Sus scrofa: one gene and its partner. The protein of the gene in region 1 purifies or fractionates together with the protein of each later gene. This does not show direct contact. Links are inferred from orthologs where the notes say so. Each region holds a gene or a part of one and is shown in the gene's direction. Other genes may lie near its edges.

Region 1 (3,648 bases):
ATTACTAGTCATCCTTTCTTCCTTGTTAGAGCCATTTGGGTTATAATTATGTACTGTTATATTTCATATTAAAAAGTAATCATTTATAAGGCCCTTTCCAATTTATAAAGAGATTTTACAGTCTCATTCAATTCTCACAACTTCCCTGTGAGGAAAATATTGCTACCACTATTTAGTAAATGAGAAAATTGAGGCTCAAGAGATAGACTTGCTACCACAATTAAAAACTTAAAACAGGGGAGTTCCTGTCATGGCACAGTGGAAACAAATCTGACTAGGAACCATGAGGTTGTGGGTTTGATCCCTGGCCTCACTCAGTGGGTTAAGGACCCAGCATTGCCGTGAGCTCTGGTGTCGGTTGCAGAGTTGGCTTGGATCTAGCGTTGCTGTGGCTGTGGTGTAGGCCAGCGGCTACAGCTCCAATTAGACCCCTAGCCTGGGAACCTCCATATGCCGCAGGTTTGGCCCTAAAAAAAAGGACAAAAAGACAAAACAAACAAACAAACAAAACCCTTACAACAGGGAGTTCCTGTTGTGGCGCAGCAGAAATGAATATGACTATAGAGATCATGAGGTTGGGGGTTCGATCCCTGGGCTCAATCAGTGGGTTAAGGATCCAGTGTTGCCATGAGCTGTGGTATAGGTTGCAGACGCAGCTCACATCTGGTGTGGCTGTGGCTGTGGCTGTGGTTGTAGCCAGCAGCTGTAATTTTGATTCAGTCCCAGCCTGGGAATCTCCACATGCCTCGAATAAAGCAAAACAAAAAGCAAAACAAAACAAAACAAAACAAAAAAAGCAAAACAAAAAAAACAAATACAAAACCTCAAAACAGGAGTTCCTGTCCTGGCTCAGTGGAAATGAATCTGACCAATATCCATGAGGACGCAGTTTCCATCCCTGGTCTCACTCAGTGGGTTAAGGATCTGGCATTGCCATGAGCTGTGGTGTAGGTTGAAGATGTGGCTCTGGCGTAGGCCAGTGGGAGACCCCTAGCCTGGGAACTTCCATATGCTGTGGGTGCAGCCCTATAAAGACCAAAAAAAAACCCACCTAAAACAACCTTTTTCTTTCTTTCTTCCTTTTTTTTTTTTTGTGGGGGCTGAACCCGTGCTGCTGTTGCAACCTGTGCCACAACTGTGGCAACACCAGATCCTTAACCTGCTCTACCACGAGGGAACTTCCTTGAAACAGTTTTTTATTTTCATTTATTGATTTTTTTGTTTTGTTTTGTTTTTGCTTTCTCGGACTGCATGCAAGGCATATGGAGGTTCCCAGGCTAGGGTACAAATTGGAACTACAGCTGCTGGCCTATGCCAGAGGCACAGCAATGCGGGATCTGAGCCAAGTCTGGGACCTACACCACAGCTCATGGCAACGCTGGATCCTTAACCCACTGAGTGAGTCCGGGGATCAAACCTGCAACCTCATGGTTCCTAGTCAGATTCGTTTCTGCTGTGCCACGAGGGGAACTCCTCCTTTGATAATCTCACTTGTTTAACCAGATTGTAAATTTCTTGAGGCCTGAATCTAACTAGCAGTTTCTTTTTACCAGGTGCAGGCAGGGTAGCTCAACGCTGAGTGAAGGTGGCAGCGGTCAAGAATAACATGCTTTTTTCCCCCTGTGTGCTCTAGCGCCCTCACAAGGCCAATGCTGAGGAGATGACCAAGTACCACAGTGATGACTACATTAAATTCCTGCGCTCCATCCGCCCAGATAACATGTCTGAGTACAGCAAGCAAATGCAGAGATGTAAGTCCGTTCCGTTCCCTCCCTGCTCTCAAGCCTGCAGGTGGATTTCCTTTTCAGTCAGAGAGGCTTACCTGACCTTCCCTTGTACCCCCCATTTAGCTGGTACCTGATTTCCACGGCTTCCTAAGGGTGCCAGAGCGCTTCTTTTTTCTCACGTCTGGTTTTCTTTGTTTTCTGATTATAAGGAAGAGATTGAACTTTGTCCATTTAGGGTCACTAACACTGTCCCCCCAAAACTGTAATTATTGTAATGGAGAAAGCACCCACTTGGGAGGTAAACACAGGCGATGTAGGTCCCAGCTCTGACTTCCCCTCAGATTTTTCTTTTGTAAAATGGGCTGGAGGTCATTCCATTCAATTGCTCTCACTTTGTTAGTATTAGGACAGACTCTAGATGATATAATCTTTGATTCTGCCCCTGCCCCCTGGGCCTTGAAACTCAGAGCAGGTCTCATCACAGAAGCCTAACTCAGTTTAGAGCAATTATGGGGATTATTTTAGCTGTAGGGGTAGAATATGTTCAAATTTGGGAAGAGGAGTTCCTGTCCTGGCTTAGTGGCAACAAATCTGACTAGAATCCGTGAGGACTTGGGTTTGATCCCTGGCCTCACTCAGTAGGGTAAGGCTCCAGCATTGCCCTGAGCTGTGGTGTAGGTCATAGACACGACTCCAATCTGGCATTGCTGTGGCTGTGGTGTAGGCCAGCAACTGCAGTTCCAATTCGCCCCCCAGCCTGGGAACCTCCATATGCCTCAGGTCCGGCCCTAAAAAGACAAAAATAAAATAAATAAATAAAACAGTGTAACAATATTATCCAGAGGTGGTTTTGATTAGTTTATGATAACTTATTCCAAATATCAGCAACTTGGTGGCACTTGTTTTGTTGCTATTGGCCACAAGGTAGTCTGATTCCCAAGGCAGAAAGTTATTTGTTTACAATAAGTATGCAGTGGTAATGACTACAGAACCATAGAAATCTTTTTTGAAGCATTAAGTTTCTTTGCTCCCTACAACTCCAGGAGCTGCTGTCCCATCTAAGTGAGATATTTACTCCCTGAATTGGCAGGGTCTTATTTCCTTCTAGGGTGAGAAATTCCTTTGCTTTAGGGACTTTAGGCCCTAAACTTATATAGGCTAGTGATCAGGCTCCACTCTTAGCAGAGAGGGCTCTCATTAGAGAAGCAGCTTGATACTGAAGCAAGAGAATGAGATTTGGTGTCTTGATTTGAATCCTGCACTACCACTTAGATTTGTGTTCCTGATTAAGCCCCTTAGCCTCTCTGAGCCTTGTCTTTCCTGCTGTGGCACAGCAGGATTGGCGATGTCTCGGGAATGCTGGGACGCAGGTTTGATCCCCTCCTGGCACAATGGGTTAAGGATCCGGCGTTGCCACAGCTATAGCATAGGTCGCAACTATGGCTCAGATCTGATCCCTGGCCTGGGAACTCTGTACACCTCAGGGTGGCTAAAAAAGAAAAAAAAAAAGTCAAGGGAGTTCTTTTATGACTCAGTGAGTTAAGGATCCAGTGTTGTCCCTGCTGTGGTATGGGTTCCATCCTTGGCCTGGAAACTTCCACATCCCACAGGGGTGGCTCAAAAATAAATAAAAATAAAAGGAAGACAGGAGTGCCTATTGCATAATGGAGGTTGAGGGGATACGTAAGATAATATATTTAAAACACCAACTGTCAGTGAATAGTAGCTTTTGCTCTTATGACTTACTGCTTTTGTTATTTTCAGTCTGTCAAGGCAGACGACATATTAGGCCCTCAGGAGTGCACAGGTTGGCTCTGGCTCCTGGTTTGCTCTAGTTTTCCTCAAACCAGCATTCTAAAGTTATGCATTAAAAAATAGGTCTGAGTTTTTTTTCTCATTGAAGGTGGGGGTAGGAGGGATG
Region 2 (3,748 bases), on another chromosome or scaffold:
GGGCATGCTGGAGTGAGCAGTGATGTCCGTCTCTGGCCTGGGAACCTCATCAAACTTTGCTGACCTATTTCTCCCTCCACAGGCTTGTGAGTTGCACGTGGCAGGATTCGATTTTGAGGTGCTGAACGAAGGTTTCCTGGTTCATAAAGGCTTCAAAGAAGCTTTGAAATTCCACCCCCAAAAGGAGGCCGAAAATCAGCACAATAAGATCCTTTACCGTCAGTTCAAGCAGGAGTTGAAGGCCAAGTACCCCGACTCCCCACGTCACTGCTGAGCCCTTCCTTCCCCTAGTCTGAGAAGTCTCAGCCTCCTCCCTCCTTAGGCCGCCCCTCAGGCCTGACTGGGGTAAGAAACGTCACTCCACTTTACAGTGGTAGCTGTGGTGTTTGAACACTGGACTTGAATATGGGGTGCTGGGATCAAGTCCTAGCTTAACCACTAACTAGCTGTGTGGCCTTGAGCAAATCCCGTTCTCTCTCTGAGCCTCAGTTACCCCGTCTGTAAAAGGGAGGTGAGAATACCTACCTCACAGAACTGCTGGGAGGCTCAGATGAGATGCTATATGTGAAAACATTCTGTAAGCTTCGTACAAATGTGAAGTATTATTAATATTATTACAGTATTATTATTGTTGTTATTATTATTGTTATTATTATTAACAATCTTGGGTGGGTGAGCAGTAGGAGAGCAAAAAGTATGAATGGGGGCAGAGCTGAGAAGTCTGAGTAGTTAACAAAATGGGCTTTTTGGAAAGAAATCAGATGAAGGCGTTGAATTTAGTTCTTAGCTTTTGGGCAGAAGCCGAAACTTCCTGGTGTCTTAGGCCTCCGTCCCGGGGGCTCTAGAGAAGGGAAGGATCTGCAGGTTCTGTGCGTCTGAGATCTGTACCCTTGAATAGCCTGGGCTGGGTGATTTGCCTACCGACTACAATGTGTAAATAAATGAGTGTTCACACCTACAGCTGGCTCCATTACTCTCCGGAACCGGGCGGGGGTGGGGGCCGCGGGTCGCAGGTTCTCCCCTTTCGCGCCGCCGGGAGGTGACTGTGGACCCAGACGCGAGGGCTGCAAAGCTAGGAAGGCACAAGGGCCTTTCCTGCATGCTGAAAGCCTGTGTGAATGTCGGTCCGTTGCCATGGAAACCGTCCCGCGGTATCCCAGCATGCCTCGCCCCAGCTATCCAATTGTGAGCACTCCGATGGGCGCCTCCTGATGACGCATGCGGAAAGCGCGGGTAGGCCCCGCCCCCGGAGAAGAGGGACCGGTGCGGCGCTTCCGGGACCCCCACAGCGGCAGCCAGTACCGATAACCTCCGGCACCTCTTGGGGAATCTAAGACGTGAGGCTGGAAGCGCCACTACCTACGGGTGCGTAACGCCAACCCTGGCGCCTGGTTTGCCCTTTCGGACAGGCAGTCGGAGCCTGCCCAATATCCAGGGCGGTAGCGAGACTTAACCGCCCGGACGCGAGCTGGGGCCGCGGGACCGAGGAGCCAGTGACTCTCCCGCCCGCTCCGCCGCGTACGGAGATGGAGCGGGGCGCGAGGCTCTGGGTGCGCCGTGGAGGGACTGGGTCGGCTTCTTCGAGGGTGGGGAAGAATCTTCCTTCCTACGAGGCGTGCCCTTGACATGCTCGCTTTCTGAAAAGATAAATTGCATGTGCACAGCACCTTATAGTTTGCTTTTCGATCCCTTACCTCTTGCCATCTTTACAACACCCAGAGTAGTGATGGTTATCCTCATTTTGTACCCGGGCTAAAGTGGGGAGGATGTGATTTAATTTGGCTCTCTCAGTAGACCCAGAGACTGGTGGAGAGAGACCTCCCCCCAAGCCCCGCCCTCTCTGGTCCAGAAAGGTGGGACTTACCCCGAGTTGTTAAAATATATTTAACAGTGAAGAGAAATTGCAAAGTTTGGGAACTCCAGGAACTGAGGCTTGAAAAAGGGAAAGAGGAGGCTGATTTGGAGAACCGAGGTTTTCAGCTCAGGTTCAGATCATTTGTGAAATCCTTGAGGAATGCTTTGAAACGGCCCTCTAGGCCAGTCAGTTTACTCAAACTGATGTCAAGGAAAGGTGACAAAACACTTTGGGTTTGCTACCACTGTAGGGACCAGGGGCTACTAAGAAAGCCATTTCCTGCCCTGCAAAAATGTGTTTTGTTTAATTTGCATTCGCAAATCCTCCAGTGGTCTAGTGAGTCAGTACTGCGCGGGGTGGGTAAAGCGCGTGTGCAGCCCTGCCCTGGGGAGGCTCACAGACAGGCATGAGGATGGGCAACAGACGTGGAAATAAATAAGGAGGGGCATCTACGCGGATCTGAAGGACTACAAAGTACCCAGAGGAAAACATCCGGTGAAGTAGAAACCCCTTTAGTCAGAAATGATCTATTGAGACTGTTTAGTCTTCCTCTTGGGCGATCTTTTGGCAGCATTTGGCACTGTCTCATCTCCTTCATTCTGAAATTCTCTCTCTCCCCCTATACTCTGACTTTTTCCTCCTCTGTCTCTTGCTAATTTCCTTCTCCTTTCCTGGCATCTTGTCATCTGCCCCTTTGATGACCCTAGAAGTTCCATCATGAACTCCTTCTCACTCCACACATTCTGCCTTGCTGGTTGCACCCTCTCCCAAGGCCTGAAGAACTCACGATGTGATGACCAGATCTCTGCAGCCCACATTTCTCTGTGAGGCTTAGACCCATGGACCCCCAGCCCTGCCCCCTTCTCTCCTCTTGGGGTGTTTGCACCTGCTACTCACTCTACTTAGAATGCACCCTCTCTTGACCAGCTCAGCTCATCTGTCTGGCCCATCTTCCTCTGCAGGCCCTCACTGCTGCAGCAGGCTCCAGGTCCCAGTTAGATGCCTCTCCCGTAAGCCCCTGGTCTTAACTCTTCTCACCCCACAGCAACAGTCTGTTTCTTAGCCTTTCTGTCCCAGGAACTTGTAAACTCCTTGAGGTCAGAGACTGTCGCACCTGTGCCCAGCTCCTACCATAGTGTCTGCTGCTACCTAGCATGTATTAGATCTTCAGTAAATATTAAATGAGTGACTAAAAGAAGGAATGCTTAAGACTGTTCAGTTTGCTGAGAAGTCAACCTAAGATAAGCACCAAAAAATACTGGCATTAGGTACGAGGAGTTCGTCAGTTAACTCTACAGGATGGGCTTCAGCTGAGAGTGATGATACAGGAACAGAACAAGTGGGAGGTGGGCGAGTAGGAATAGCAAGTGTCCACAAGGCCTTGAAAAGTAGCCATGAGGTGGAAAACGGCGAGCAGTGGGGTGGGGTGAGGTTTTGTGTTTCTGCTTTCTCTCTCTGGTGGTAGATACCTGAGCACGTCTGACGTTCTCTGGGAGGAGCTGTCAGGAGCGAGAGTTGAAGATGCATAAGGGAGAGGGCAGCACTGAGGACATGAGATCATGAAGGAAGCAGGAGATAGGATTTGAGCCCAGTGAGAACACAAGCATCGTAGAGTGTTCTCAGGAAGAGAAGTGGAGGGCGGTGTAGGCAGAAGAATAGCACAGGAGTTCCCGTCGTGGCGCAGCAGAAAGGAATCTGACTGGGAACCATGAGGTTTCGGGTTCAATCCCTGGTCTCGCTCAGTGGGTTAAGGATCCAGCATTGCCGTGAGCTGTGGTGTAGGTCGCAGACGCAGCTTGGATCTGGCGTTGCTGTAGCTGTGGTGTAGGCCAACGTCTACAGCTCCAATTGGACCCCTGGCCTGGGAATCTCCATATGCTGCGAATATGGCTC

The links. Proteins that work in one complex are often made in the same cells at the same time.
Region 2: the proteins of HDAC1 (region 1) and BRMS1 purify together in Homo sapiens (affinity purification with mass spectrometry; 7 studies listed by BioGRID and IntAct, counting the BioPlex papers as one, with this or other methods). This does not show direct contact. The link is inferred for Sus scrofa from reciprocal best matches to the Homo sapiens genes HDAC1 and BRMS1.

What each region holds. Positions count from the first base shown.
Region 1 is NC_010448.4:88,766,606-88,770,253, forward strand, and holds part of HDAC1 (histone deacetylase 1), read left to right. Parts: intron 1-1,633; coding exon 1,634-1,751; intron 1,752-3,648. UniProt on the Homo sapiens protein: Histone deacetylase that catalyzes the deacetylation of lysine residues on the N-terminal part of the core histones (H2A, H2B, H3 and H4).
Region 2 is NC_010444.4:6,044,863-6,048,610, forward strand, and holds the start of BRMS1 (breast cancer metastasis-suppressor 1), read left to right. Parts: upstream 1-1,214; 5' UTR 1,215-1,365; intron 1,366-3,748. UniProt on the Homo sapiens protein: Transcriptional repressor. Down-regulates transcription activation by NF-kappa-B by promoting the deacetylation of RELA at 'Lys-310'. Promotes HDAC1 binding to promoter regions.